3 linked regions of the Arabidopsis thaliana genome follow. The protein of the gene in region 3 purifies or fractionates together with the protein of the main gene of each other region. This does not show direct contact. Each region holds a gene or a part of one and is shown on either strand. Other genes may lie near its edges.

Region 1 (4,194 bases), about 17 Mb from region 3:
GCATGCATTAGTCTTGTTTTGGAAGAACCAATTACTCAAACTATCTTTTTTTGTATAGTTTTTGAATAATTTTTCTAGGTTGGTTTACTATGTCTTTGTCTCATTGAATATGGATGCATTAGTCTAATCGAACTTTAGTGTTTTAGACAAAAAAAAAAACAATACTAAGTTGAAACCTACTTCAGAGATGGTCTAATTCCTCAATGCAGACGCTATATGTCCTGTGGATGACCTTGTGTTATGTGTATGTAAAGAGAAAAAAGAGGTTTGATACTAGTATATATCGATTACTTGGTTTGTTGTTTGGTATGTGTTATTTGTGATCAAATAAATTTTGTAGTGATGAAGTTATATGCATCTATCTAGTAAGGACTCCTCTTGTTTTCATCACTAGGTTTTTGTTAACCAATTATAGAACACTGAAGAATAATAAATTACGCATAGTTCTAAATAAGATATCACTATAACTTTCTTTCTTTTTTTGTATAGAGCGAGTTAAATTCCAGTAAACATAGATTATTTACTGCATCATTTGTTGCGACTATTCTGAATTGAGAACAGATTAGCCAAGAGTTGCATACTACATAATCAGTTTAATATATAAGCAAAAGTTACATAAATTGGAGCATGTTGTATCAGAATACTACTCTGTTTTTCCTTCTATTTTTTAAAATCATTTTTCTATCATGTTAAAGTAATATTTTAGCTGCTATATAAAAAATGCATAATAGTTGAGAACTTAAATACTACTTTGAGTACTTTCACTAATACATATTGTTAGAATGAAGCTTCTTCATAACATAAAACTACTTTATTTGTTGTAATCTTTTTAATACAAATTTTATTTGGAGCTAAACTTTATTGGTCACGGTAAATATCCAACTACCAGTTGTAGCTTTCTTGCCGCTTAAGCTTTACAAGGAGAAAGAGGAGAGCCGCAAAGACAGTCATTACCCACAAACGCACTGGCCGGGAACTTTGTTACTGGAAGCTTTCCACAAAGATGGTTGTGACTCACGTTCAATGTCTTTAGTCCAGCCACCATTGCCGGCACCTTCCCAAATACCAAGTTCCTTGATATATCTAAAGTTGTCAGCGTCTTTGCAAACGTTAGCTTCCCCATATCGAATCGTAGTTTGTTACCCGCTGCCTTGAACTCCACTAGATACTCTGTTTGGTTCAAGAACCTTGCTGGACTCCCTGTGATCTCGTTTTCCGACAGATCGATGAAATCATAGTAGAATGTTTGCGCTGGCTTCCAATCGTCTAAGCTCATCTTGATCCCGCATTTTGCTAGCTTCAACGAGAAGATGATCGGCGACGAAGTCACCCATTTCGGGATCGTATTCAAGTGAAACTGGTTGTAAGAAAGATCCAAAGATTCAATGCCTTTAACGTTCAAGACAGGGAATGGATCGGTTAGAAGATTATGGGAGAGATCAAGATTGAATATCTTGGTCAGATTGGCGAAACTCTTCGGTATGACACCCGAGAACCGATTCTTGGAGAGATCCAATGTGTCGAGCGCCTTGAAGTTTGATAAAAAGTTTGGAATCGTCCCGGAGAGTTTGTTATGGCCTAACTCGAGGAACCTAAGAATCGGTGCGAGTGATGCAATGGACGGAGGAAGATTCCCGGAGAATCCGTTGCGGGAGAGAGTTAAAGATCGGAGCTCTGGCATGGATTTGAAAATATCTGGAATGGTTCCAGTGAGACGGTTACCTCCAAGGTTGAGATACGACATGAGCTTGAGATTAGCGACCCCTAACGGTATAGTTCCGGTTAGGAGATTATTGCCGAGTTTGAGTTGAGTTAACAGAGTCAAATTAGATATCGAGCTCGGGATCGGACCGGTGAACCGGTTTCCCTCGAGGCTGAACGCTTCAAGCTGGCTTAGCGCACCGATGTTAGCCGGAAGAGTACCAGAGAGACGGTTATTCTCAATGTATACGTACTTAAGATTTGGTAATTGGAAAAGGAATTGAGGAAAAGAACCAGTGATGTTCTTGAGATCGGTGAAGTAAATCCCATCAAGGTGCTTGAGTTTAGCCAACGACGGCGAGAGAGTGCCGGAGAGGAAGCTTCCAGCAACATCGGCTTGTCCAGCGACAGAGAGTGCAGAGACACGGTCAGTGGTGAGACAAGTGACACCGTTCCAAGAACAACAAGCGGTACCTTTCTTCCAAGAACTGAGAATACCCGAAGGATCTCGGGTTATACCCGCTTTGAAAGCTAGAAGACCCGCTTCATCATCAGGATGACACGTGGCAGCTCCGGTGGGATTTAGACATTGGAGGAAGATGACGAAGGTAAAGATGAAGAGAGTAAAGGAAGAGTTCATGGTGGTGAATTGTGTTGTGTTGATTGAGAGAAGAGAGCTATTAGTAGTGGGGAAAAGATTACTTGAGAGCTGCGAAGTCAAAGTTGACGTTTTTGACCAATCCATTTGCATCTGCATGTGACCATAATTATTAGTGGTATCCGTAATCGTGGTCGAATTTATCATTTTTCCCCGACACACTTGAAAAAGACAGTTTCATTAGATTTTTATTATAGTTTGTCTTTTCTTGACTATTATATATGCATAGGTCTTCTCTTGACAATTAACACGTCTTAATGTTTTGCTAAAAACAAAATTCTACTTTTTTCAGACTTCTTATAATATATTTTCGTTTTTTTTGGTTATATTTTGAAACTCCAGTAAGTCATAGTATTTTTATTTTTCACAACATTTCCGACAAAAGAAACTGTCATAGACTCAAGAGCCAAACGATTCTAACAGCAAGAACAGAGTAATTGATGTTCCAATACATGACTGGGCTGGACTTCCGCCAACTGTTTTTGGCGATGCAATAACACTTCCAGGAAACAATCAGTTTATACAAGACCTCCTTATTAATATTAAAATTACTAGAAGAATATTGAGCATTTATAATATTATATTGTAGCAGTTAATCGTGTTCTGCTATAATTTACTAACCAGCTAAAACGTTATAACGTTTGGTTTTCAAAACGTTATACTATCTTACCCCGGGAAATAAAATGACTCGGGTCAATATTTTTAGATTAGGGGTTATTATTCGATAGCACTAATTTACAAAAACCGCTACCTAATATAGTAGCGCGGAATGAAATTTTTTTGCTCGTTGGAGAATAAAATATTTGGTGACTTTTAACCCCGAAATTTTTTTCTAAGGCCAAAAAACATTGTTCGTGTTCTCACTGTTTTTCATCTCACTGTTCTTCATCTCTTTCAATTCTCTTTTTCAATTCTCTCTGTTTGTGTTCGTGTTCTTCAGCTGTCTGTCTCTCTCCCGTCTCTGTTCGTGTTCTTGCTCAACGCCTCAATCTCTTTTGGTACTCTTCAGCTTCTCAGTCACAGATCTGGTTCTAAATCGAGAAGGTTATGTTTCTTTTGTAATCGATTTAGGGTTTGCATTGTGAAATTGTCTGGTTTGAGTTTCGATTTGGGGTTTTAATCACATTTAGGGTTTGATTTTCAGGTTTCTCAGATTTAGGGGTTTCGATTTGGGGCTTTCGCTATCCGCGTTTCTCAAAGATTTCAGTGGCTTCTCTTTGACAAGTATGTTATTTAGATCGATTTCTGTGGTTCTTAGATCGATTTTGAGTTTCATATAGCTTTGAACTTGACTATTCTCATGTGTCGAATTGAGTTTCATATAGCTTTGATAGTGAGCATTCATTTGTATCGAATTGAGTTTCAAATAGCTTTGATAGCTTGTATTCACTTGTATTGATTAGAACTTGACTATTTTCAGTGACTATTGACTTGTATCGATTAGAAGTTGACTATTTCTGTGACTTTTCACTTGTATCCAATGGAACTTGACTATTTATGTGATTCACTTGTATCGAATTGAGTTAATTTCTGTGGTTCTTAGTATACGTGTAGCTTTGAGTTTATGTGGTTCTTGTATTCAATATAGCTTTGATAGTATTGAATTTTTGTTTTTGAAATTTCTCTTTGTGTCTTTGTTCTTGTATCTCTGTTAACTAATATATATATATATATATATATATATATATATATATAAATATTATCATATATATGGGGTTGGAGCTTGTTGGTGTTTCAAAAATGGATAAGAGTTGGGTATGGCTGCCAAGGAATAGCATTGAGTACGAGAAAGGAGCAACAAAATTTGTTTACGCATCATCGAGACGTTTGGGAGA
Region 2 (5,953 bases), about 17 Mb from region 3:
TTCCAAGTATATTTTGGTATTTTGTATATGTTTGGTTATTCGATCTAAAAATAACTAATATTTTGGATATATAATTGGATATTTTTGAGTATCCAAAATATTTTGGTTTGGTTCGGGTTTGATTATAATCTTTTTCGGTTCTAGAATTTTGGACCTATTTGAATATTTTACAATTGGTCTGAGTTCAGTTTGGTTCTTTTTTCTTCGGTTCCAGTTCAATTCTTTCGGTTCACTTATTATGTCCAGACTTAATCCAGACGATGGACTGACTTGACTAATTATATCCGATAAAATCAGACGGGATTTTTGGATCGAGGGACCGGTTCAAGAAATTCTGGTCACGCGGGATCAGAAAATCCAGGTAAGTAAATTTAATTCTTATACTCATTAATTTGACTAACTGTTATGTGTATTTTGTAAAGTTTGGGTATTTAAAAAAAAGTAGAAAATTTGGATAATTTCTGTTAATTTTGTAAAAGTTAAATACATAAACGGAAATACGAGTATCTTTTCCGAAGTCCTCGCCGTTCACTTTAGTAGTAACATTTCGCGTATATGGAAAACAATGTCGGAGGGTTGAAATACTACTTTCACTAATACAATAATACGTATTGATTATCGTTGTTACATGTAGTGGAGCTTCTTGATGTCTTAAGTTAATGGTGTGTTTTTGTTGATTGAGAGAAGCATTCGTGGTAGCTATTAATAGAAGGAAAGTCATCGACTCTAGCGCTGACGATTTTGACCAAGTCATATGCATGTGGTGGCATTACGTGGTGGTATAATCCGTGATCGTTGTTGAGTTTAGCATCTCTGGATCCCTTGAAAGAGACAGTGTCTTTCATCAGATTATTATATAAATGGTTTAACATATCTTCTTTTTCTAGAATTTTGTTGTTACATTGTATTAAAACTCATAAGTCATATAGTTTTTTTCCACTGTCTTATTAGTATTTCTTTCTATCAAATTTAAATAAAATTTTATTTTTATTATGGAATTTAGTTAGGAAAAATAACCATTTTGATTTTTCTCTAACATCTATATATACATTTTTGCAGCCATTTTGTGAAATAAATCCTGGAGTTCGAACTTATTTACAATACCTGCCATTGCCTTTTAATTATTGGTTTTCTTTTGGCAATAAATTGATTAACAAACAAAAAATATTCCAAATATATTATAATCCCATATATCACGCAAATTTCTCCAAAATTTAAACTAGATTTCGGAAACTATTTAAAACAAAAAATATTTGACAAACCAAAATACAATTGCAATCCCTTAAAATGAGCAAAACGCACCTAAATACATTTCCTATCAGTTCACTAAATCTTATTTCTCCAATATTTGAACTAGATTTCGACAACCATTTAAAAAAAAAATTTGTTTGACAAACTAAAATATAATTGCAATCCCGTAAAATATTTATTTAAATTAGCGGTGTATCGCAGATTTTTTTAACGGGACGGGTTTGGTGGAACGAGTTTGGAAGGATATTACTTAATAACAATTGTAAACTATAAAATGTAAATATTTTATAGATAAATATAATTTGCAGACTCTTATATATACTAATTTTAAAAACAAATTGTCTCCGCGGTGTACCGCGGGTTATAATCTAGTTATGTACGTTATTTTCGTCTTACTTTTTTCAACACGTTATTTTAATCTGTCCAACAAAATGTTCGTTATTGACCTTAAATTAGAAGTGAAAGATTTGACTGTTTAGATTTAGAACGATCTAAGTGCAATGATCTAGACAGTGAAAATAAGTTGGCCTCAAGATGGTCAGGTAAACATTATGCTTTATTTTCTTAGCATAATCTAACATTAGTAGCTTTATCTATTTGCCTATTGTAAGAACTAAGAAAGTGAAAATTTAGATTGTTCTCGAAAATCGATTTGTTCAGTTTTCAGTTTATGGTAGTGACATTTAAGATGCATGCTACCTCTCTTATGAATGCCGTAGCGTTCATCGAGATCCATTTGTTTTTATAGCTTTGAATAATAAGGCAAATCTCAGTGTGTCTACAGTTTTAATATTTCATATTATTACACAAATAACTCTAGTTTTCTTGTCTACAAAGTCACCAGTTTCATGATTCTAATGGAACATTTATTCCCAAGATCTTCATTACTTCTTGGATGTAGGGTAGGTACCGAGAGTGAATGTATCAAACTATTGGTTTATATGTGATATTATTTTGTCTGTCTAGATTTTAGATATTTAGCTCACCAATGATTAGACTGCCCACAAAGTAATCAAATTAATGTTGGAAATTGAGAATAACCGATCAATAATTTGTTAAAACATCAACATGATTTATATTTACATGGCTATGTACTGTATTATCAAATTTCTTAAATATTATAAGGTTTTTTTTAAACAAAAAAATCACAAATTATGGTAAGTGGTCATAATATTATTTTTTCTAAACATGTTTTACTTTTTCTTTTAACTGACAAAAGTTCATTATTCTGTAACTTCTGTTAATGTTCTGTTAGTTAGTGTTCTGTTCTGTTATCTTTTAGGGCTGTACAAACAAAAAATGTTAATTTGGAGATCTAGAGTGTTAGTTTAATTAATTTGGAGGTTTATAATGCTAGTGAAAATATCTTGAGGTTTAAAGTGCTGCTCAGTGTTAGGTTTAAAATGTGATTTTCCCCTTAAATATTTTGTTATTTTCTATTCCAGTAAAAAAAATAAAAATCATGTCCATGTATGGCGTAGCCGAGTAGGCTAATTTTGTTATTACAAATCTTATTCAGAGCTATGTGTTACAGTACTCAACTACAAAATTGTACCTTTTTGCCGCTAAATTTTACAAGGAGAAAGCGGAGAGCCGCAGAGACAGTCATTACCGACAAACGCGCTGGCCGGGAATTTAGTCACTGGAAGCTTTCCACAAAGATGGTTATGACTCAAGTTCAATTTTTGCAGTTTAGCCACGGTCATTGGTACCTTCCCAAATATCAAATTCCTTGATAGATCGAGGCTTTCTAGTCTCTCACTTAAATTCAGCTTCCCCATGTCGAATCGAAGTTTGTTCCCTGACGCTTGAAACTCATATAGGTTATGCGCTAGGTTGAAGAACCATGTTAGACTCCCTGAGATCTCGTTTTCTGACAGATCGATGTAAAAGTAAATATTGGGTCTCACTGGCTTCCAATTGTCTAAGCTCATATTGATCCCGCATTTTACCAGCTTCAACGAGTACATGGACGGCGACGAGGTCACCCATTTCGGTATCGTTTTGAGGTGAAATTGGTTGTATGAAAGATCTAGAGTGGCAAGGCCATCAACGTTCTTCATGGCAGGGAGTGGACCAGTTAGAAAATTGTGGGAGAGATTGAGATGGAAAAGTTTAGGCATATTGGCTAAACTCTTCGGAACAACCCCAGAGAACCTATTTCTAGAAAGATCCAATGAGTCTAGTACCTTGAAGTTTGATAAAAAGGTCGGGATTGTCCCAGAGAGATTATTCTGGCTTAGATCGAGGTAATTGAGAATTGGTTTGAGTGATGCAATGGACGGAGGAAGATTTCCAGAGAATTTGTTGCGGGAGAGGGTTAGAGATTGGAGCTTCTGCATGGATTTGAAAATATCCGGTATGGTTTCAGAGAGACGATTGTTGCCAAAGTTGAGTGACAACAAGATCTTGAGATTAGCAAGACCTAAAGGTATAGTTCCGGTTAAGAGATTATCTCCAAGATTGAGCAGATATAACCGGGTTAAATTGGAAATGGAACTCGGGATCGGACCAGTAAACAGGTTTCCGTCGAGACTTAGTTCTCCTAACTCGCTTAGCGCACCAATGTTAGCTGGAAGAGGACCGGAGAGACGGCTATTCGTGAAGTAGACTTGTTTTACATTTGGTAATTGGAAAAGGAATTGAGGAAAAGAACCAGTGATGTTTCGAAGATTGGTGAAGTAAATACCAACAAGGTGTTGGAGTTTGGCCAATGACGGCGAGATAGTGCCAGAAAGAAAGCTTCCAGTAACATCAGATTGTCCGTTGATAGTGAGTCCGGTGACGCGGTTGGTGAGACAACCGACACCCTTCCATGAACAGCAGTCAGTACCTTTCTTCCAAGAGCTGAGAATACCCGTAGGATCTTGAGTTATACCCGATTTAAAAGCTAAAAGACCCGCCTCGTCATCAGGATGACACGTGGCAGCTTCAATGGGACTTAAACACCGGAGAAAGATAACGAATGCAAAGATGAAGAGAGGGAAGCAACAAGAGTTCATGGTTGAGTTGTGTTGATTGAAAGACACAATTGGTCGCTATTAATAGAAGGAAAACGTTGAATCAAGAGCTGCCGATTTTGACCAATTCATGTTCATGTGGTGGCAATAAGTTGTGGTAATATCCGTAATCGTTGTCGAATTTATTATCTCTCAACCCCTCGAAAGAGACAGTTTCTTTCATCAGATTTTTATAATATTTTGATGATTATAGATAAAGGATTTATGTATCTTATTTTTCTAGAACTTTGTTGTCAAATTACAATTGTTTTCTATCATGTTTAAATAATATTTTGGGCTATTATGAAACTTAGTTTGGAAAGAAATTTCATTTATGTTTTCTCAAAATGTACGTTATTTTTGAAAAAAAAAAAATATTTATTAACATGTTATTTTTGTCTAACAATATGTACATTATTGACCACAAAATAAAAGTCAAATATATCTAAGTACAATGATCCAGATTGTGGACTAAGTTGGCCTCGAGATGGGCCGATAGATTCATGCCTTAATTTTCTTAGCGTAATCCAACATTAACATAAGTAGCTTTATCTATTTGTTTATCGTAAGAAATTATAGTGGAATCTTAGCTTGTTTTGGAAGAACCAATTACTCAATTTTCGTTTATGGTGGTGAAGTTTTAAGATGCTGCATGCATTAGTCTTGTTTTGGAAGAACCAATTACTCAAACTATCTTTTTTTGTATAGTTTTTGAATAATTTTTCTAGGTTGGTTTACTATGTCTTTGTCTCATTGAATATGGATGCATTAGTCTAATCGAACTTTAGTGTTTTAGACAAAAAAAAAAACAATACTAAGTTGAAACCTACTTCAGAGATGGTCTAATTCCTCAATGCAGACGCTATATGTCCTGTGGATGACCTTGTGTTATGTGTATGTAAAGAGAAAAAAGAGGTTTGATACTAGTATATATCGATTACTTGGTTTGTTGTTTGGTATGTGTTATTTGTGATCAAATAAATTTTGTAGTGATGAAGTTATATGCATCTATCTAGTAAGGACTCCTCTTGTTTTCATCACTAGGTTTTTGTTAACCAATTATAGAACACTGAAGAATAATAAATTACGCATAGTTCTAAATAAGATATCACTATAACTTTCTTTCTTTTTTTGTATAGAGCGAGTTAAATTCCAGTAAACATAGATTATTTACTGCATCATTTGTTGCGACTATTCTGAATTGAGAACAGATTAGCCAAGAGTTGCATACTACATAATCAGTTTAATATATAAGCAAAAGTTACATAAATTGGAGCATGTTGTATCAGAATACTACTCTGTTTTTCCTTCTATTTTTTAAAATCATTTTTCTATCATGTTAAAGTAATATTTTAGCTGCTATATAAAAAATGCATAATAGTTGAGAACTTAAATACTACTTTGAGTACTTTCACTAATACATATTGTTAGAATGAAGCTTCTTCATAACATAAAACTACTTTATTTGTTGTAATCTTTTTAATACAAATTTTATTTGGAGCTAAACTTTATTGGTCACGGTAAATATCCAACTACCAGTTGTAGCTTTCTTGCCGCTTAAGCTTTACAAGGAGAAAGAGGAGAGCCGCAAAGACAGTCATTACCCACAAACGCACTGGCCGGGAACTTTGTTACTGGAAGCTTTCCACAAAGATGGTTGTGACTCACGTTCAATGTCTTTAGTCCAGCCACCATTGCCGGCA
Region 3 (5,739 bases):
CGAATCAAATAATATATTAGCTTTTATTTTACGTATTTTCCCGCAACCTTTGTTTATTGCTAACCCTCCCTAAAGTTCTACTTATTTATTGATTTTTCCCAACAGTTTTCGAATATTACATAGATTTTCTCAGATTTCCGGGCTTATTGGTCCATCAAAGCCATTTATATGTGAGGCCCATATTTATTATAATGGACCTTAACCAAATCCAGTTTATCCATTAAGCTTGTCATTTTATATTGGACTTGTAAAACTTTAAACATTTCATTGGGTTGGGCCGATCTCGAAAGCCCATCAAGAATAATACGACTTTAAAGTAGCGAACTAGGTAGTAGGTTCACTGTGAGTTAGCCGTTGAGGATGTCAGAACGGTAACTATGACGTCAAAAGCTGAGAATTCGAAAACTATCCGTTAGTGATTTTACCCAACGGTAAAGAAAACTTGTCTATATATAGTAATACACACAACACAGTCCTCGTTACTCCTAAATTATCTAATCCAAACCAAGACATGTAGATAGAAACCTATTCTCTTTTTGTCTCTTGTTGTCTGATTCTCTCTTCATCTTCGGCGGCAAAACTCAGCCAATCATCGGTGAGTTACTTTGTACTTTACTTTACGGTGAAAAGCGAAAACTGTGTCTATGTAAAACCTTTGTACATTACCTTTCTGTCTCTATGTACTTTAATTTCCAGTTTCTTTCTTGTTGTATTGTTTGGGTGTTTTTAGTCGGAATTACTCTTCTTGGCTCTTAGTACTTTGTTTTGACCCATGTTGGATTTTGATTTCTATGTTATTCGTATTGTTGATACTTCGTTTAAAACTTATATGTTGACAAATGAATACGGTGCAATGCCTTAATTTAAACCATGAATCTTTTATTTTCGTTATTATTTATTTGATAATAGTCCTAATAATGTTTTTAATCAAGATATAATATTTTTTGCGAGGGATCATTAATTCTGATGAGGAGGACAAAGCTTCAACAAGCGAACAACAATATCCACTACTTAGAGAGCTAAAGCATAAACATGAATTGCAATTTCCGCCAGGTTAGTTTTCAATCCTTTCCAAAAATCAACTACTATCAATAATAATTGAAGCACTTTTTAGTCGAAATACTCATCACTCGAAACACTTTCTAGTGTAAACTTTTTAATTCTACTTTAATAACACACTCATAAACACTATATCATTTAGTAGTAAAACACTCAGTAACTAAAAAATATTTTCTTAAAAAAAGATATGATGCGGAACTTTTAATTAAAACTCACAACTAAAAAATTAAAATAGTTGAAACATACTTAGTAAACACCAAATTATTTTCAACAAAAAATAGTCAAAGTCGTAGCACTGAACCATTCAACCAAAAAAAAACACATTTAACAAGATACACACACGACTAATAAATGTGTATTTTCTTACGTCTTTAAAATTACATTAACACTTAATTAATTCAACAAAATCCCTTTAGCCAAAATTTAGTCGAAGCACTTACTCAAAAAACTTATATCTAAATCCGAACACACGTAAAACACTAGATCAATTTACTTAAAAGTCGAAACATATATTTCCAAGCATACTTCTAAACAAAGCATACTTAGTGAAGTACATTAGTTATACTGTTGAACACAATATTAAATCACGAACACGTACTCCTAAACTAGTCAGGCAAATTACTCCTAACATTTTAGTCAAAACATAGTTATTCGTAACACTTGAAAACACTTCCGCAATTCCGCATTTAAAGGCAAGTGCAAAAATCACACTTTATTTAAAAAAAGCTTATATAAAAACCGTTTTAGGCGAAGTATGAATATTACTTGAACAATTATTGTTTTTACTTCACATTTCGTCGAAGCGTCTGTTAGTCGAAGCCAAGCACAAGTTGAACCACTGTTAGTCGTATCGCTGTTAGTCGTTAGTCAAAACACTTTTTTATGTCATACATTTTGTACGTTGTTATTAAATGTTAACTTGATCGGGAAAAGACCACTCTGTTGCAGGTCGCACACCTTTAACAGTGATCTAATATATCAAAGACAAAAAAAAGGTGGATTGAGATTAATCATAAAAGGAAACAAATACTTTAACAACTTCTCAAAAAAATTGGTGATCAAACTCAGAAAACTAAAAATTGGAACATAGCAACTGAAGAAAATGAAAATGAGGATCTGTTTCGCATCCATATTTCGCAAACTCATTAAAACGTTAATTAATTTTAAAATAACCAAGTGTAGATAACGCAGCTTATCGGATCCGTTGGTATAACGTTGTATGGTCCTCAGTTTGGAAGGAGTGGCGATTTTCCGAAAATGGATTGATATAAGGCAAACAGATTGGTTCAGAGTAATTTCAAAAAAATCAATGAAACGGTATATGAAATAATGTACTTAAAATATTATATCAAATAGGCTATCTCTATGCTCACATCACATGCGTCGAATAAACAATTAAAACAAAAATCCAACGGGACGACCAATAGCATAATTCCGGTGGCTCGTAATTAAAAATTGGTCCACATTATATCAAAGTGCTCACGTACCCTTTCAAAATTCCAATTCCAACTAATGTTGCTGTGGTGCTACAGAAATAAATAAAAAACTATAGTTGAAAACTGACAAAACAAGTATAATTAATATTGACTCGCTTTATACAAGAAACATGTTACTTTGTACAAAACAAGTATAATTAATATTGACTAAAATGAAAATTATCACTTTATACCTGTTAAGAATCGATAGATTATCATACAAGTTGTTTCAAATTATTATACAAGTTTGTTTCACTTCACTTTACACCGAATAGCATTGATAAATTAATATACACCTGCTAAAGTGACGAGGTTTCAAAAGCATATCATTGCATCCTATAAAAAGAAGCTCACTCAGTATACTAAAACACACCAACATTCATCAAAAAAACACATAACAAAAAATGGAATTCTCAACCACATTAGCTCTGTTCTTCACTCTCTCCATATTCTTGGTCGGAGCACAAGCCAAAGTTCCCGTCGACGACCAATTTCGAGTGGTCAACGAAGGAGGCTACACCGATTACAGTCCCATCGAATACAACCCCGACGTACGTGGCTTCGTCCCCTTCAGCGACAACTTCCGTCTCTGTTTCTACAACACAACCCAAAACGCATACACTCTCGCTCTTAGAATCGGAAACAGAGCCCAAGAATCCACTCTAAGATGGGTCTGGGAAGCAAACAGAGGCTCACCAGTCAAAGAAAACGCCACGTTGACTTTCGGCGAAGATGGAAACCTTGTACTTGCTGAAGCCGATGGCCGCGTGGTCTGGCAAACGAACACGGCTAACAAAGGCGTCGTGGGGATCAAAATTTTGGAGAATGGCAATATGGTAATATATGATTCAAATGGAAAATTCGTATGGCAAAGCTTTGACTCTCCGACCGACACGCTTCTCGTTGGACAGTCTTTGAAACTCAACGGTCAAAACAAGCTCGTAAGCAGACTTTCTCCATCGGTCAACGCAAACGGACCGTACAGTCTCGTGATGGAAGCCAAGAAGCTAGTCTTGTACTACACGACAAACAAAACTCCAAAACCAATCGGTTACTACGAATACGAATTCTTCACCAAGATAGCTCAGTTACAGTCTATGACGTTCCAAGCTGTGGAGGATGCCGACACCACGTGGGGTCTACACATGGAAGGTGTCGACTCTGGTTCTCAATTCAACGTCTCGACGTTCCTCTCGCGGCCTAAACACAATGCGACGTTGAGTTTTCTTCGGTTAGAGTCAGACGGAAACATCAGAGTTTGGAGTTACAGTACGTTGGCGACTTCCACGGCTTGGGACGTAACGTACACGGCGTTTACTAACGACAACACTGACGGTAACGATGAGTGTAGGATCCCTGAGCATTGTTTGGGGTTTGGTTTGTGTAAGAAAGGTCAGTGTAACGCTTGTCCTAGCGACATAGGGCTTCTTGGTTGGGATGAGACTTGCAAGATTCCGAGTCTCGCTAGTTGCGATCCCAAGACATTTCACTATTTCAAGATCGAAGGAGCTGATAGTTTTATGACGAAGTATAACGGTGGATCAACGACAACGGAGAGTGCGTGTGGGGACAAATGTACGAGAGATTGTAAGTGTTTAGGGTTTTTCTACAATAGGAAGAGTTCGAGGTGTTGGTTGGGTTATGAGCTCAAGACATTGACTAAAACCGGAGATACTTCCCTAGTTGCTTATGTCAAGGCTCCGAATGCTAGCAAGAAGTCAGCTCTTGCCATTTGAAGCGTAAACAAAGGTTTTTGTGTGTCGTTTTGACGAATAATAAGGCTACGTTGTCCTTTGTTTTCTCTTTTCTGAAAAAGTGTTGCTATTGGTTTATCTTGTTTTATGATTGCATGTTGATTCTCAAGCTACACCGTAATAAATTGAAGTGAAACGCATCAGCTAAATTCAATTATTCTCATTATTTTACCAAAAAAAATAAAATTATTCATTAATTTAGTATCATCACAAAATATGATATACTTAAGGATTGAATTGAGAAATTGAATCATGAATGAGTTTAAGCTTTCATGTTTTCTGTTTTTCTTTTTTTTTTAGCTTGAGACCATATTTTGAAGGTAATGTTTCAAGAAAAACCTTAACTTTCCGTTGTGAAAAAATGTTTTATATTTTTATTAGACACTGATGCAATGCAGTAGAACGTGCACACAACACTTTGCTTCTCATGACAAGCCATTGAAAGATTCAAACTTTTAATTTGGATTATTAAAGAAGCGGTATAAATATGATACGAATAAGATGCGTGCTACGGCGCTTCGACGCCGCGTCACCTTAACAGAGATGGTCATCTGTCTCGTTTTTTTTTGACCAGTCAACGCTCTTATATATTTATTATACATGTACATAATGTCTTAAATCATGCAGACTAATAACTTTACATCGTTTTCGTTGTTAGCTTTGATTTTTAAAAGTCAACTTGAAAGATGCCAGGTGTTATTTATAGTTTATACATATCAAGCAAATGCTTTCTACTGCATATATTATCGATTTTTTTTACCCAAACATAATAATTAATTATTGAACAAAAGGTACACAGTACTTAACACTAATCTTCATTTTTCTTCATTTTGTGAGCTGATTTGGTCTAATTAAATCGATGGCATAAAAGCCAAAACCAGAGAAACATTGTTTATGAATAGAAATTTTTAGAGGTAAAAATTTAGCATTTGGAACCAAAGAGTCGGTTCTAATATAATGTATAAAGAACGAAAAATAAACGATAGAAATATTAACTGAACATTTAGTATGACGGTTTGGGACTTTGGGGTGACAAATTGTTGTACTATATTGAGCTGCCCATAAGCATTTGTATTTGTGAAACATTGCATATTAATTGGAGCTGAAGTATATACATATGCATAGCTATGAGTTAATTTTTCTACCTCGTCTCGAGACAATGCATTTTGAGGTGATTTGGTTCCCAAATGATGCCGCTCTAAAAAGGCTAATTAAGAAGTCAAACTTATTGTTGTTTTGTTGATGCCTCACGGGAATCACCAGATATGAAAGCTAAAATCTGATGATAAATGCATAACAAACAAGGCCATCAAATTATTAAAGGTAGTTCTTCAATAGAACCCACTTCAAGCAAAACCAGTAGCTTTACTAATGGAAGTTCAACAAGCCAGAAACTTGGGTTATTATGAGGTAACGTTTGTTGGAGATGGCAAAGCTTAATTTGTATGATT

The links. The genes of interacting proteins can lie anywhere in the genome.
Region 1: the proteins of AT1G78860 (region 3) and AT1G33590 fractionate together in Arabidopsis thaliana (co-fractionation; one large-scale study listed by BioGRID). This does not show direct contact.
Region 2: the proteins of AT1G78860 (region 3) and AT1G33600 fractionate together in Arabidopsis thaliana (co-fractionation; one large-scale study listed by BioGRID). This does not show direct contact.

What each region holds. Positions count from the first base shown.
Region 1 is NC_003070.9:12,175,935-12,180,128, reverse strand, and holds AT1G33590 (Leucine-rich repeat (LRR) family protein), read right to left. Parts: upstream 2,457-4,194; 5' UTR 2,453-2,456; coding exon 908-2,452; 3' UTR 501-907; downstream 1-500.
Region 2 is NC_003070.9:12,179,076-12,185,028, reverse strand, and holds AT1G33600 (Leucine-rich repeat (LRR) family protein), read right to left. Parts: upstream 4,254-5,953; coding exon 2,817-4,253; 3' UTR 2,807-2,816; exon of another isoform or gene 2,429-2,806; intron 830-2,428; exon of another isoform or gene 822-829; 3' UTR 501-821; downstream 1-500. Other genes in the region: AT1G33590 (Leucine-rich repeat (LRR) family protein), read right to left, coding at 5,808-5,953.
Region 3 is NC_003070.9:29,644,699-29,650,437, reverse strand, and holds AT1G78860 (D-mannose binding lectin protein with Apple-like carbohydrate-binding domain-containing protein), read left to right. Parts: upstream 1-2,746; 5' UTR 2,747-2,938; coding exon 2,939-4,270; 3' UTR 4,271-4,435; downstream 4,436-5,739.